Linked DNA regions of Stegostoma tigrinum. The protein of the gene in region 1 interacts with the protein of each later gene in a pairwise test. Links are inferred from orthologs where the notes say so. Each region holds a gene or a part of one and is shown in the gene's direction. Other genes may lie near its edges.

Region 1 (7,439 bases):
TGTGAATCTTGGTGGTTTCAGTACCCTTTGTTGCTGCCTCTAGTTGCCATATAAGCCCTGTCTAACCTGCCTCCTCTGCAAGAGAATGCTGTTGTTTTCCTCTTTTCTCGATCTATGGCCCATATACATCACTATTACATGCTCTTTAATTTAAAAGCTTCAGCTGCAGCTTTATGAAAATAGGGTTCACTTCTTTGTGCTCCTTGACAATTAAAATTTCCTTTGAGGAAGAACCAGAATGTTTTCAATGTTAGGTCAAGGGTTTGTCAAAGAATTCTTCACTTCTGAGAGGCTCCTATTATTTAAATTACAAAACATTCAAGCAACATCTCCAAAACAGCAAAATTTAACCTTTTGGCTCCTTTGTCCTGCCCTCCATGTTTGTTGTCTTCTGACCAAAGTTCCAAACTCAGCAGAATAGGTGACCCATAATTCTGGGGGAGTAAAGTCTATACCTTTCGGTGGATAGCATTATTGGGACATTACTGGTAAAATAGCTGTGACTCAGTTAAAGGAAAAAATATTATTGGATGTGGTGGATATTATAGCTTTGGTGCATCCAAGCAGGATTGATTATTCATGACTAACTTAATAGTGTAAAAGTAATCAGTTACTCCAAACACCGAATCAAAATTACAAAATAGCAGCAGACAATATTTCCAAATGTTTCATGATTTTAAACCAAGGATTAAAATCAAGCCTAAGTTATAAATTTTTACATGCCAATGGAGAAAAGCATAATTGTAGTCAACTCTACTGTTACTCTTTGGATTAGCTAAAGACTCTAGAATGAAATCCATCAGGATCTGAGGGCTTTTCAGCTTCTCATTCTAATAATTTCTTAGTATTCCTTCCTTGGGTGATTGAATTGTTTTTAAGATACTCCATCTCTTTCATTCTTTGATTTGCAATTATTCCTGGAATGTTAGTCATAAGCAAAATAACTGTTCAATTGTCTGTCATTTTCCAACTTGATTATTTCCAGAGGACCACCGCTGACACATGCTTTTCCTTTTTAAATATCTGTCTGGACTATTTTGATATTTCTCACTAGTTTTATCATGTACTGTAATTTCTCCCTTTTCTCAGTTATTCTTTGTTCATGTTCTGTCCAGTCTTCTGACCATGATCTTTACTGAATTGTAGATATTTTCTACAAATATGCATTTCATGTTTTTGCACACCTCGGAAGTAGTTGGGACTTGAACGTAGGCCTCCTGGCTTAGAGGTAGGGGCACTGCACACTGCATTAGAACAGCCCCTCTTCACAGAACTGCATTTTTTTCTTTCAATTTTGATACAATCTTTAACTACTTTGATTAGTTAAGGATGGTGTTTCATTTCTCTCGAGTCTTTCTCACTGGAATGGCTATCTTGAATGTTATGTCTGCAATTTCATCTCCACTTATCTGTACTCTAACTTCTCTCTTTTTTTCCAGGCTCTGTCTTCATACCCTTATAACTGCCCAATTTAAGTTTAAAACACTGCAGTCTTGGATACATTCTTCTCTCCCTCAAGACCAGAATTAAATCATTATAATCACTGATACCCAAGTGTACATTCCCTATGTGATTATAAATTAATCCTATCCCGTTGCACATCTGATCGAGTATAGCCTGTTCTCTGGTTAGCTCTAATTCATGCTGCTCTAAGAAACAGTTCTGAAACGTACTGAGCTCATCTCCCAGGCTACCATTTTCACTAATTCGGCTCATCTATATGTAGCTGAAAACCACCCAGGTTATTGACATTAACTTTCTCAAACTACCCATTATTTCTTTACTATTTCTTTACTCCCATCCTACGGTATGGTTATTTTTAAGAAGAATATAAAATGCTCCTACAAGTGACTTCTGACCTCTACTATTATATGTCTACCAAAAATGATTTTATATCTTTCTGTTTAGAACTAAGGTCAAGTCTTTCAATTGTACGGATCTACCTTTTCTTGACTTCATGCCCTTCCAAAAAATGTTGCGAATCCTTGTATATTCAGGTTTCAGCCTTTGCTGTCTAGCAGCCAGATCTTTGTAGCGGCTATTCAGTCATACAAATTACATCTATTAGAGCAGTCATAGAGAGGTCAGGCATGGAAACAGACCCTTTTATCCATGCTGACCAAATATCCTAAATTAATTTAGTCCCATTTGCCAATATTAGGCTTAGGAGAGCTATAAGGGGACATGAGAAAACCTTGGCAGATAGGATCAAGGAAAACTCCAAGGCTTTTTACACGTACATGATGAATAAGAGAATGACCAGACAGGGTAGGGCCGAGCAAGGATTGTAAGGGGAATTTGTGCACAGAGCCTAAAGAGATAGGAGAGTTCATTAATGAATATTTTTCTTCGGTATTCATAACCGAGAGGTACCTAGTTGGAGGAGAGGGCTGTGAAACAGTCTGGTAGGCTAGAGGAGGTCAGTGTTAGTAAGGAAGATGTACTAGGAATTTTGAGGAACTTGAAGATAGATAAGTCCCCTGGGCCTGATGGGATTTATCCAAGGATTCTGTGGGAAGCGAGGGACGAGATCGCAGGGCCTTTGATGATTTTTTTCAACCTCACTGTCCACGGGTATAATGCTGGGAGATATTAGAGTGGCAAATGTCATTCCCTTATTCAAGAAAGGGAATAGGGATAATCCTAGAAACTACAGGCCAGTTAGTCCTACTTCAGTGGTGGGCAAATTATTGGAAAGGGCTCTGAGAGATAGGATTCATGATCACTTGGATAGGCACCGTTTGATTCGTGATGGTCAGCATAGCTTTATGAGGGGTAGATCCATGCCTCTCAAACGTTATTGAATTCTTTGAAGAGGTGACCAAACACATGGATGAAGGTAGAGCAGTGAATGCGTTTGATAAGGTTCCCCATGGTAGGCTCAAGCAGCAAGTAAGAAAGCATGGGATAGGGGAAATGTGGTAGATTCAATTCAGAATTGGCTGACGCTTAGAAGACAAAGGGTGGTAATGGATGGAAAATATTCAACATGGTGCTCAATTACGATTGGTGGACCACAAGGATCTGTTCTGGGTCCGCTTCTATTTGTGATTTTTGCAAATGATTTGGATGTAGGAGTGGAAGGGTGGATTAGTAAGTTTGCGGACGATACAAGGGTGGGTCCAGTTGTGGATATGGCAGAGGGCTGTTCGAGGTTAGAAATAGGCAGTGATAGGATACAGGGCTGGGCTGAGAAGTGGCAAATGGAGTTTAACCCTGAAAAGTGTGAGGTGATTCATTTTGGAAAGACAAACTTCAAAGCCGAATACAAGGTTAACAGAACGATTCTTGGCAGTGTGGAGGAGCAGAGGGAACTTGGGGTACACATCCACAATTCCCTGAAAGCTGCCACCCAGGCGGATAAGAGTTGTTAAGGTGTATGGTGTGTAAACTTTCATTAACAGAGGGACTGAATTCAAGAGCCTTGAAGTTCTGTTCCAGCTTTACAAAAGCCTGGCTCGGCTACATCTGGAATATTGTGTCCACTTCTGGTTGCCTTGTAACAGGAATGATGTGGAAGCTTTGGAAAAGGTGCAGAGGAGATTTACCAGGATGTTGCCTGGAATGGAGGGAAGGTCTTACGAGGAAAGGTTGAGAGAGCTAGGGCTTTTCTCTTTAGAACGATGAAGAATAAGAGGTGACTTGATAGAGGTGTACAAGATGATCAGAGGTATAGATAGACAGCCAAAGTCTTTTTCCTAGGATGGAGGTAGCTATTGTGAGGGGGCATAGTTTTAAAGTGAGTGGAGGTAGATACAGAGGAGACGTCAGAGGTAGGGTCCTTGCTCAGAGTGGTCGGGGTGTGGAATGTGGTGTCAGACAGGGTAATGGAGTTGGTCTCATTAGGGGCATTTAAGTGGCTATTAGATAGGCATACGGATGATAGTATAAGGTAGGGGTGTAAGTTAGATAGGCCTGAGGATTAGGGGAAAAGTATGGCGTAACATCATGGGCCAAAGGGCCTGTACTTGAAAGACACATGGTGACCCTCAGTCTCAAAATTCTTCTTACTGTATTAAAGTGCACCACTGTAGCGCCCATCGACACAAACTATGCAGCACTTCGTTTTTTTAAAACTGCAACACTGGATTTTAGGTTATAGCAAGCCAACTTGCATTTCAGTTTCAAAAAAAAGGAAAACGTGGTCCCTTACACAAAAAACACAATTATCCGTCTGATTTTGTCTGCCCCTTAACAGTTTGATTGTGGCTCAGGTAATAAGCTACTAATCGAGGTACTGCTTTTCAATTTAACCACTAACCCTTTTATAATCCCTCAGCGAAGCCGCTTTCCTGCTCTGGGGCTTAGATGCAGCAGTCTCCCCTCCTGGCCGCCGGAAGGCGCTGTCTTTGAAGTCTGCAGTGCTTTCCGCATTCGGCGGAGGGCAGTGCTGCCCTGTAATTACGGGTAAAATGGCGGCGCAGGAAGGCGGCCTTGACAGGGCTCTGAGCGTGAGATACTCCCGGGCATTGAGGCTGTCGGAGGTAGAGTCGAAGCGGGACCCTGAGTCGGAGCCTTATCGCTCCAAGTACAAGGCTCGGGAACTGCTGAAGGAGCTGAAAGCATCGTTGGGGCCGCGGGACGATGAGCCGCTCCAGGCTGGAGACTGGCTGCAGAAAGCGGCGGTGCTCGAGCTGCAGCTCGGCCTCAACCACACGGAGACAGAGGAGCTGTCCGCCGGTGAGGAGCACCTGGCCAAGTGCATCCAGATCCTGGAACCCTTCAGGCTTAGCCCCGGGGGCGTGTCCGTCTTCCTCCAGGCCGAGGTGAGGAGGCAGCGCAGGTCTCCTGGCAACCGGAACCTGGGGGACGCAAACACAACCCCGACATGGGGCAGGTCCCTGAGATCACCCCCACAATCGGAGGATGGCATTGGACAAGGAGAGCAGAGGTTGCGGGGGTTAGGCAGGGGCGATAGGGAGGATGGGAGGTGAGGGAGCGTGACAGCCGTTTCCTGCAGTCAGTCAGACAGGGATAGGGCCAGGGATAATGGGAACTGCAGATGCTGGAGAGTCCAAGAAAATAAAATGTGAGGCTGGATGAACACAGCAGGCCAAGCAGCATCTCAGGAGCACAAAAGCTGACGTTTCGGGCCTAGACCCTTCATCAGAGACGGGGATGGGGTGAGTGTTCTGGAATAAATAAATACATCACCGAGGCCAGACGCCAACTCTCCGACACCACCTCGACCCGCCCGCTCGATCATGACCCCACACCCAAGCACCAAACCGTCATCTCCCACACTATTCATGACCTCATCACCTCAGGGGACCTCCCACCCACAGCCTCCAACCTCATTGTTCCCCAACCCCGCACGGCCCGTTTCTATCTCCTTCCCAAAATCCACAAACCTGCCTGCCCTGGTCGACCCATCGTCTCAGCCTGCTCCTGCCCTACCGAACTCATCTCCACCTATCTGGACTCCATTTTCTATCCTTTGGTCCAGGAACTCTCTACCTACGTCCGTGACACCACCCACGCCCTCCACCTCCTCCAGGACTTCCAATTCCCTGGCCCCCAACACCTCATCTTCACCATGGACGTCCAGTCCCTATACACCTGTATTCCGCATGCAGATGGCCTCAAGGCCCTCCGCTTCTTCCTGTCCCGCAGGCCCGGCCAGTCCCCCTCCACCGACACCCTCATCCGCCTTGCCGAACTTGTCCTCATCCTCAACAACTTCTCTTTCGATTCCTCCCACTTCCTACAGACTAAGGGGGTGGCCATGGGCACCCGCATGGGCCCCAGCTATGCCTGCCTCTTTGTAGGTTACGTGGACCAGTCCCTCTTCCGCACCTACACAGGCCCCAAACCCCACCTCTTCCTCCGTTACATTGATGACTGTATCGGCGCCGCCCCTTGCTCCCCAGAGGAGCTCGAACAGTTCATCGACTTCGCCAACACCTTCCACCCCAACCTTCAGTTCCCTGGGCCATCTCCAGCACATCCCTCACCTTCCTGGATCTCTCAGTCTCCATCTCAGGCAACCAGCTTGTAACTGATGTCCATTTCAAGCCCACCGACTCCCACAGCTACGTAGCATACACTTCCTCCCACCTACCCTCCTGCAAAAATTCTATCCTCTATTCCCAATTCCACCGCCTCCGCCGCATCTGCTCCCACGATGAGGCATTCCACTCCCGCACATCCCAGATGTCCAAGTTCTTGAAGGACCGCAACTTTCCCCCCACAGTGGTTGAGAACGCCCTTGACCGCGTCTCCCGCATTTCCCGCAACACATCCCTCACGCCCCACCCCCGCCACAACCGCCCAAAGAGGATCCCCCTCGTTCTCACACACCACCCCACCAACCTCCAGATACAACGCATCATCCTCCGACACTTCCGCCATCTACAATTGGACCCCACCACCCAAGACATTTTTCCAGCCCCACCCCTGTCTGCTTTCCCGAGAGACCACTCGCTCCACACTGCCCTCCAACCCCACCACACCCAGCACCTTTCCCTGCAACCGCAGGAAATGCTACACTTGCCCCCACACCTCCTCTCTCACCCCATCCCAGGCCCCAAGATGACTGTCCACATTAAGCAGAGGTTCACCTGCACATCTGCCAATGTGGTATACTGCATCCACTGTACCCAGTGTGGCTACCTCTACATTGGGGAAACCAAGCGGAGGCTTGGGGACCACTTTGCAGAACACCTCCGCTCGGTTCGCAATAAACAACTGCACCTCCCAGTCGCAAACCATTTCCACTCCCCCTCCCATTCTTTAGGTGACATGTCCATCATGGGCCTCCTGCAGTGCCACAATGATGCCACCCGAAGGTTGCAGGAACAGCAACTCATATTCCACTTGGGAACCCTGCAGCCCAATGGTATCAATGTGGACTTCACCAGCTTCAAAATCTCCCCTTCCCCCACCGCTTCCCAAAACCAGCCCAGTTCGTCCTCTCCTCCCCACTGCACCACACAACCAGCCCAGCTCTTCCCCTCCACCCACTGCATCCCAAAACCAGTCCAACCTGTCTCTGCCTCCCTAACCTGTTCTTCCTCTCACCCATCCCTTCCTCCCACCCCAAGCTGCACCTCCATCTCCTACCTACTAACCTCATCCCACCTCCTTGACCTGTCCGTCTTCCCTAGACTGACCTATCCCCTCCCTACCTCCCCACCTATACTCTCCTCCCCACCTATCTTCTTTACTCTCCATCTTCGGTCCGCCTCCCCCTCTTTCCCTATTTATTCCAGTTCCCCCACCCCATCCCCCTCTCTGATGAAGGGTCTAGGCCCGAAACGTCAGGTTTTGTGCTCCTGAGATGCTGCTTGGCCTGCTGTGTTCATCCAGCCTCACATTTTATTATCAGGGATAGGGCCAGGGCTTGCAGGGTGTGGTTCAGGAGGGGACCAGATAGTGGACAGGGCTAGAACCCATGCAGGTACCCATTGCGACACATTTTATTAAAGAAGGTGAATGGA
Region 2 (7,038 bases), on another chromosome or scaffold:
GGGAAATGCAGGGTTACATGGATAGGTTAATGGGGGTGTGTCTGGGTGGGATGATCTTTGGAGGGCTTGGTGTAAACTCAATGGGCCAAATGGCCAGCTTCCACACTGCAGGGATTCTGTGATAATTCTATTGGCGAATTGGCCATTAATGGCAACATGTTCCATGGATCATTCTGGGTGATCACAGTCACGAGCTGGTGAGGGTGAGGTTCTCAGTTCCCATCAACATGTATTCGCAACAAAAGCAGAAATCTCAGCAGGTCTGGCACCACCTGCAGAGAGAAATCGAGTCCAGTAACCCTTCTGCAGAACTGATTGTAGGTGGGGAACCAGTGAGCGTACAAGGCACGGGGAACGGGGTTGGGGAGAGGGGGTAATTAAATGATGGGTGGAGTTGAAGTACAGAGAGAGTGGGGGGAGGGGGCGAGAGAGAGAGAGAGAGGAGTGGGTAAAGGTCAGCCTGGGGGAATCAATGGCTGCTAATGCTGTTCTGAAGTCAATATTGGGTTTGATCATTTTAGGACCCGAACACTTTCTTCCATATCCTTACCTGAACTCCCACACACCAAGCCTTATCAACACACATGCTGCTACTGCAAACAGCCCATGATTAGATTAGATTCCCTACAGCTTGGAAACGGGCCTTTCGGCCCAACAAGTCCACACTGCCCCTTGAAGCATCCCACCCAGACCCATCCCCCTATAACGCACACACCCCTGAACACTACGGGCAATTTAGCATGGCCGATCCACCTAGCCTGTACATCTTTGAACTGTGGGAGGAAACCGGAGCACCCGGAGGAAACCCACACAGGCACATGGAGAATGTGCAAACTCCGCACAGAGAGTCGCCTGAGGGTGGAATCGAACGCGGGTCCCTGGTACTGTGAGGCTGCAGCGCTAACCACTGAGCCACCGTGCCACCCCTAACCACTGAGCCACCGTGCCGCCCCTGACCACTGAGCCACCGTGCCGCCCCGAACCACTGAGCCACCGTGCCGCCCCGAACCACTGAGCCACCGTGCCACCTCTAACCACTGAGCCACCGTGCCACCCCGAACCACTGAGCCACCGTGCCACCCCGAACCACTGAGCCACCATGCCACCTCTAACCACTGAGCCACCGTGCCGCCCCGAACCACTGAGCCACCGTGCTGCCCCGAACCACTGAGCCACCGTGCTGCCCCGAACACTGAGCCACCGTGCCACCCCAAACCACTGAGCCACCGTGCCACCTAGGTGTTAGCTACTACTGGTCCCTGTTGGCAGCAATTGATTCCCCACATCCATGTGTTTGTTCTCTCTCTCGCTGGCCTCTTTCTCCATCACTTCTCAATCACTCCTCATCTCCTGCATTTTTTTTACCAATTTTATCCTCAGCCAATCAGTTCTGTAGAAGTCACTCGACCGAAACCATTAACTTTGCTTTATCTTCACAGATGCCACCAGCTCTGCTAAAATTTCCAAGCCATTTCTAATTCCCAGGATCTGCAGTTCTTGAAGTTATTTTGTATATCATCTATTTGTACTGACCTAGTGTGTGCAGACAGGGTTTCAGGTTGCTCACAAGACTGTTAAAGGTGGAAGCCTTTCTAAATGAGACTTCTTTTGAGCCGCACTTGGCTCTCAAATCTTCATCTGGGTAGAAGTCACAATGTCAAAATGTCATCAGTGGTTCCAAAAAGGCTTGTGTTTCTGTAAGTTACACCAGGTATAGTTTTTGAGACCCTGTTGGATGAGACGTTCTCACTGGACTTCCCAAAATGTTGCAACAACACTGTGTCTATGTTGGAGAATAATGTGTGGTCAATATGCAAAGGTTGATTTGAGGGTTCCTGTGAAATACCCTATTACAATGTGCAGTCAGACTTTAATGGGACTACCTCCAGTCCATAATGGTGCCTGGTTCTTTGCTACAGAGTGAACAAGGGCCATCATTGATGTTTGAAGTTCCAATGCTAATGCTGTCCACTTTGAGGACATGCTAAATTCCTCCTGAAATATAGCTCCTTCAATTCAGTGTCTTCTAAAGCTTGCAGGTCCTCTACACTTTGGACCCGACCAGCAGGATGCAGAAACCATGCTTGGTAGACCACCCATCACTGACTTTTGCAACCAACAATCAGGCACCTCAAAGACACGATTGAATGGTGAAGCAGACTCGATGGGCTGAGTAGCCTAATTTCTGCTCCTATGTCTCATAGTCGAATGCAGCTTTTGTTTAAAATAACTTGCACGAAGGTCACATCTTTCCCACCGTAGGAGAAGCCTGAAGCAAACAGCTGAGGCACTTTGCAAGGGAAATGAGATACTTATGTGACAATGAGAAGGCAGAGAAAGAAAAGTGGCAACTCTGAGCAGAGAATGGTTGAGCAACGAGTATAATACCATCATAGACGAATGGGCCAAATGGCCTGTCTCACTGCTGTATGGTCCAGGAATTTCCATGAAGTCAAAGATGTCCCAGAGTACTTTGCAGCTTGTGCAATAATTTCAAACCATTGTCACTTTTACATGCAGGTTTAGGTTATATTGAATTGAAATATTCCTTGCGGTAACAAGCATGGGTTGCAGTTTACTGTTTGCTGCCAGATGGAGGCAGGCCTTAACCTGGTTTAAAAATTCCCAGTTTTAAGCTCTGCTGAAACTTCACACTGTCAGAAGCACAGAGCTGGACCAGCAAACGTTGCTGACGGTAACATCAACTCAACTGTGAAAGGAATGACACAGGGCTGGTTAGCCCACCAGGTGCATGCCAGTATTTCAGCTTGAGGAGAAGCCTTCTCCGAGCCCTCTTCACCTCATCCCAGCAATGAATCCATATGACCATAAGACAGTAGAGCAGAATCAGACCATTCAGCCCATCGAGACTGTTATGCCATTTGATCATGGCCGATATGTTTCTCAACCCTATTGTCCTGCCTTATCCCCATAACCCTTGAGCCCCTTACGAAAAACACTCAATGACTTTGCCTAAGGCAATCAGTTCCCTTGAATAACCACCCTCTGGCTGAAGAAATTCCTCCTCATCTCAGTTTTAGAGGCTGTCCTTTTTCTCTAAGGCTGGAACCTTGGTTACTAGCCTCACTTACTTGTGCAAACATCTTCCCTGTGTCCACTCTATCGAGGCTCCCTCAGTATTCTGTTAATTTCAAGCAGATCCTCTGCCATCCCTCTAAACTCCATCAAGGACAGAACCAGAGCCCTAAACCACTCCCCAAAAGTCAAGCCCTTCATCTCCAGGATCATTCTAGAGAACCCCCCCAGACCAAATGCAAAGCCTGTAATTCCTTACTTGATATGGAGCGTAAAAGTGCCCACAATATTTTGAATGCAGTCTAATAAGAGCCTTGTACAGCCTGAGCATTACATCCTCGCTCTTGAATTCTAGCCCTCTTGAAATGAATGCCAACTTGCATTTGTCTTCCTAACTTCCAAAGGACCTGCATGTTAACCCGAGCGGGATCCTGAACGAGGACTCCTAAATCTCTTTGCGTTACAGACTTGCAAAGCTTTTCTCATTCATAAAACAGTCTCTGCAGCTATTCCTTCTGCCAAAGTGCATAATCTCAGACTTCCACGTTGTATTCCATCCGTCAGTTTTCCCACCCGCCTGGCCTGCCCAGGTCCTTCGGCGGTCGCCACCACTTCCCCGACCAGACCTGTCCCTCCACCTAACCTTGTATCCCTCAGCTCCCTTCTCCTTCGGCTCTTCATTCAGCTTTCACTTCAACTCACAAAAGCAAAATACCACAAGCACAGGGAATAGGAAGTAAAAACATGAAGTGCTGGAAGTCATCAGCTATTCAAGCCAGCCTGTTTGGAGAGAGAAGCGGAGTTTAATGATCAGACGTCATCGAAACTGAGGAACGGCAGAACTGTGCTAAACTCAAGAAAAGTGAAAGAGGAACAAGCAAGAGCCAGCAATGGGCAGGGGAGGGAAACTCACAGAGATTAATTGTCATGCAAATTGCTATCAATCCATCTACAGCTTTCGACTCAGCGAGTCCTGTGATAGTGAGTTCCACCTTCTCATCACTGTCAGGGTATGAGAGTGCACCAGTTTCTCTTTGACTGTGTTGGAGACGATGCTCCACCTGCGGCCACTTGATGCACTGTGTCTCGGATGTGCTGCAAGTTTGGTTTTGGGGTGTGAGAGCCGGGTGCGAGGGGACGGCGCTGGCTCGAACTCCAACCTCCAGTGACACTGCTGAAGCACAGCGAAGCCACAGTCCCTGAGCTCGTAGTGCCTGACATACCCGCACTGGCACACGACGATGAACTTAAAATGGAAGAGGCCATAAAACAGGGAGTACTTCACGTGCAGATGCAACAGAAATTTGGAAAGGTAAAAGACACCTTTGAAAATGTTTTTTTTGGAGAGTGGGGCTGGTAATTTGAGTCGGGGGGACTCGGGCTTTAATTTGGCATTTGGAGATACTCATCCTGAGTTATTTCACCGAGTTTCCTGCTTAAGCACCTCTTTCTGAATCTTCTGTAGCTTCGCTTCATTGAAATGAGGCACATTAGTATGATTCAAATGCAGCAGTGCTCAGTTCCGGGCATAAAGAAACAGAGAACTGATCTGTCAAATCCCCATGTGCTACAGAGTCGAAAACAGATTTCTACAAAGTTACAGAAGAAAAACACGGGTGCTAATTTACAAAAGGCAAGGTTCCAAAACTGGCTCTCTGATGAAGGGTCTAGGCCCGAAACATCAGCTTTTGTGTTCCTGAGATGCTGCTGGGCCTGCTGTGTTCATCCAGCTCCACACTTTGTTATCTTGGATTCCCCAGCATCTGCAGTTCCCATTATCACTGTTCCAAAACTGACACCCGGTTTCCTTCATCTAAGCAATTCTGCTATCTACGTCCATCATAAAAACATAGAACATAGAACATTACAGCACAGTACAGGCCCTTTGGCCCTCGATGTTGTGTCAACCTGTCATACCAATCTCAAGCCCATCTAACCTACACTATTCCATGTACGTCCATATGCTTGTGCAATGACGACTTAAATGTACCTAAAGTTGGCGAATCTACTACCGTTGCAAAAGGCAGACAAAAAGGAGTCGAGGCCCGGAGCGTCAGCCTGCCTACTCCTCTGATGCTGCTTGGCCTGCTGTGTTCATCCAGCTTCACACTTTTGTTATCTCAGATTCTCCAGCAGCTGCAGTTCCTGCTCTCTCTGAGACAAGGCATCAGTTTCATTTCTAATCTCAAAACAGCCACTTCACCAGTGACCCTCTGACAGTGCGGCACTCCCTCAGCACTGACCCTCCGACAGTGCGGCGCTCCCTCAGCACTGACCCTCCGACAGTGCAGCACTCCCTCAGTACTGACCATCTGACAGTGCGGCACTCCCTCAGCACTGACCCCTCTGACAGTGCGGTGCTCCCTCAGCACTGACCCTCCGACAGTGCGGCGCTCCCTCAGCACTGACCCTCCGACACTGCGGCGCTCCCTCAGCACTGACCCTCCGACACTGCGGCGCTCCCTCAGCACTGACCCTCCGACAGTGCGGCGCTCCCTCAGCACTGACCCTCCGACAGTGCGGCGCTCCCTCAGTACTGACCATCTGACAGTGCGGCGCTCCCTCAGCACTGACCCCTCTGACAGTGCGGCGCTCCCTCAGCACTGACCCCTCTGACAGTGCGGCACTCCCTCAGCACTGACCCTCCGACAGTGCGGCACTCCCTCAGCACTGACCCCTCTGACAGTGCAGCACTCCCTCAGCACTGACCATCTGACAGTGCGGCACTCCCTCAGCACTGACCCTCTGACAGTGTTACGCTCCCTCAGTACTGACCATCTGACAGTGCGGCGCTCCCTCAGTACTGACCCTCCGACAGTGCGGCGCTCCCTCAGTCTTGCACTGTCATGCCTGGTTCTGGCCTCAAGTCTGTGAAGTGGATTTGGACTCTCAAGATGCTTTTCCAAACTGGCATGTTCATGGCAATTACTTTGTCCTAATTATGTTAAAATATCTCAGCCTTGATGTGAAGAGCAGTGTACAATTCCATGTGAGACTGAAGTGTTCAGAGCATGTGAACATGCCCCTCACAGGTCGTTCTGCTCAATCTGTTTCTGTTGAGTTGCCTAGAAAAGCTTGTGATGCCTTCTGCTGCTTTTCTGTTCATTGTTGACAAAAACTGGAGCCTTTGAAATGAGTGCAGGAGCCTTACTTCAGTGCAAGTCTCCTCAATAGACAGGATAGTATGAAAAAACACAGCACAGTGAAGACAGATTTGCGCTTTGTCCAATGTTGCTCATGCCAATGGAGCACAATATCCATTGGGACAAAAGGATGGCATTTGCCATTGCCATCTCCCAGCCCTTTTCCTGTGTGCACAGCAAGGTTAAACATGCGCCACTGGGTCTGAAGCAGAGTATTCAAATCCAGGCCTTTCCCTCTTGCTGCACCCAATGTGTCACAGCTTCTCCCTCATCCCATCTGTTCTCAGAATTATTCTTTGGCTTTATTACACTCTCTCACATATCCACACAATCGTGCACACTCTCTCACACATACACATAATCCTACACGCTCTCTCACACACAGACACAATCATACATGCTCTCCCACACATCCACACAAGCGTACACGCTCTCCCACACATCCACACAAGCGTACACGCTCTCCCACACATCCACACAAGCGTACACGCTCTCCCACACATCCACACAAGCGTACACGCTCTCCCACACATCCACACAAGCGTACACGCTCTCCCACACATACACACAATCGTACACGCTCTCTCACACATACACACAATTGTACACGTTCTCCCACACATCCACACAAGCGTACACTCTCTCTCACACATCCACATAATCGTACACGCTCTCCCACACATACACACAATCATACATGCCCTTTCACACATACACACAATCATACATGCTCTCTCACACATCCATACAATCATACACTTTCTCTCACACATACACACAAGCGTACACTCTCTCTCACACATCCACACAAGCGTACACTCTCACACATACACACAATCATACACTCTCTCTCACACAT

Evidence for each region. The genes of interacting proteins can lie anywhere in the genome.
Region 2: the proteins of kifbp (region 1) and docking protein 2-like interact in a two-hybrid assay, tested with the Homo sapiens proteins (2 studies listed by BioGRID and IntAct). The two-hybrid records come from large-scale screens. The link is inferred for Stegostoma tigrinum from reciprocal best matches to the Homo sapiens genes KIFBP and DOK2.

Annotation. Positions count from the first base shown.
Region 1 is NC_081373.1:57,846,752-57,854,190, reverse strand, and holds the start of kifbp (KIF-binding protein), read left to right. Parts: upstream 1-4,389; 5' UTR 4,390-4,412; coding exon 4,413-4,766; intron 4,767-7,439. UniProt on the Homo sapiens protein: Activator of KIF1B plus-end-directed microtubule motor activity. Required for organization of axonal microtubules, and axonal outgrowth and maintenance during peripheral and central nervous system development.
Region 2 is NC_081393.1:2,333,476-2,340,513, forward strand, and holds the start of docking protein 2-like, read left to right. Parts: upstream 1-3,997; 5' UTR 3,998-4,288; coding exon 4,289-4,348; intron 4,349-7,038. UniProt on the Homo sapiens protein: DOK proteins are enzymatically inert adaptor or scaffolding proteins. They provide a docking platform for the assembly of multimolecular signaling complexes. DOK2 may modulate the cellular proliferation induced by IL-4, as well as IL-2 and IL-3.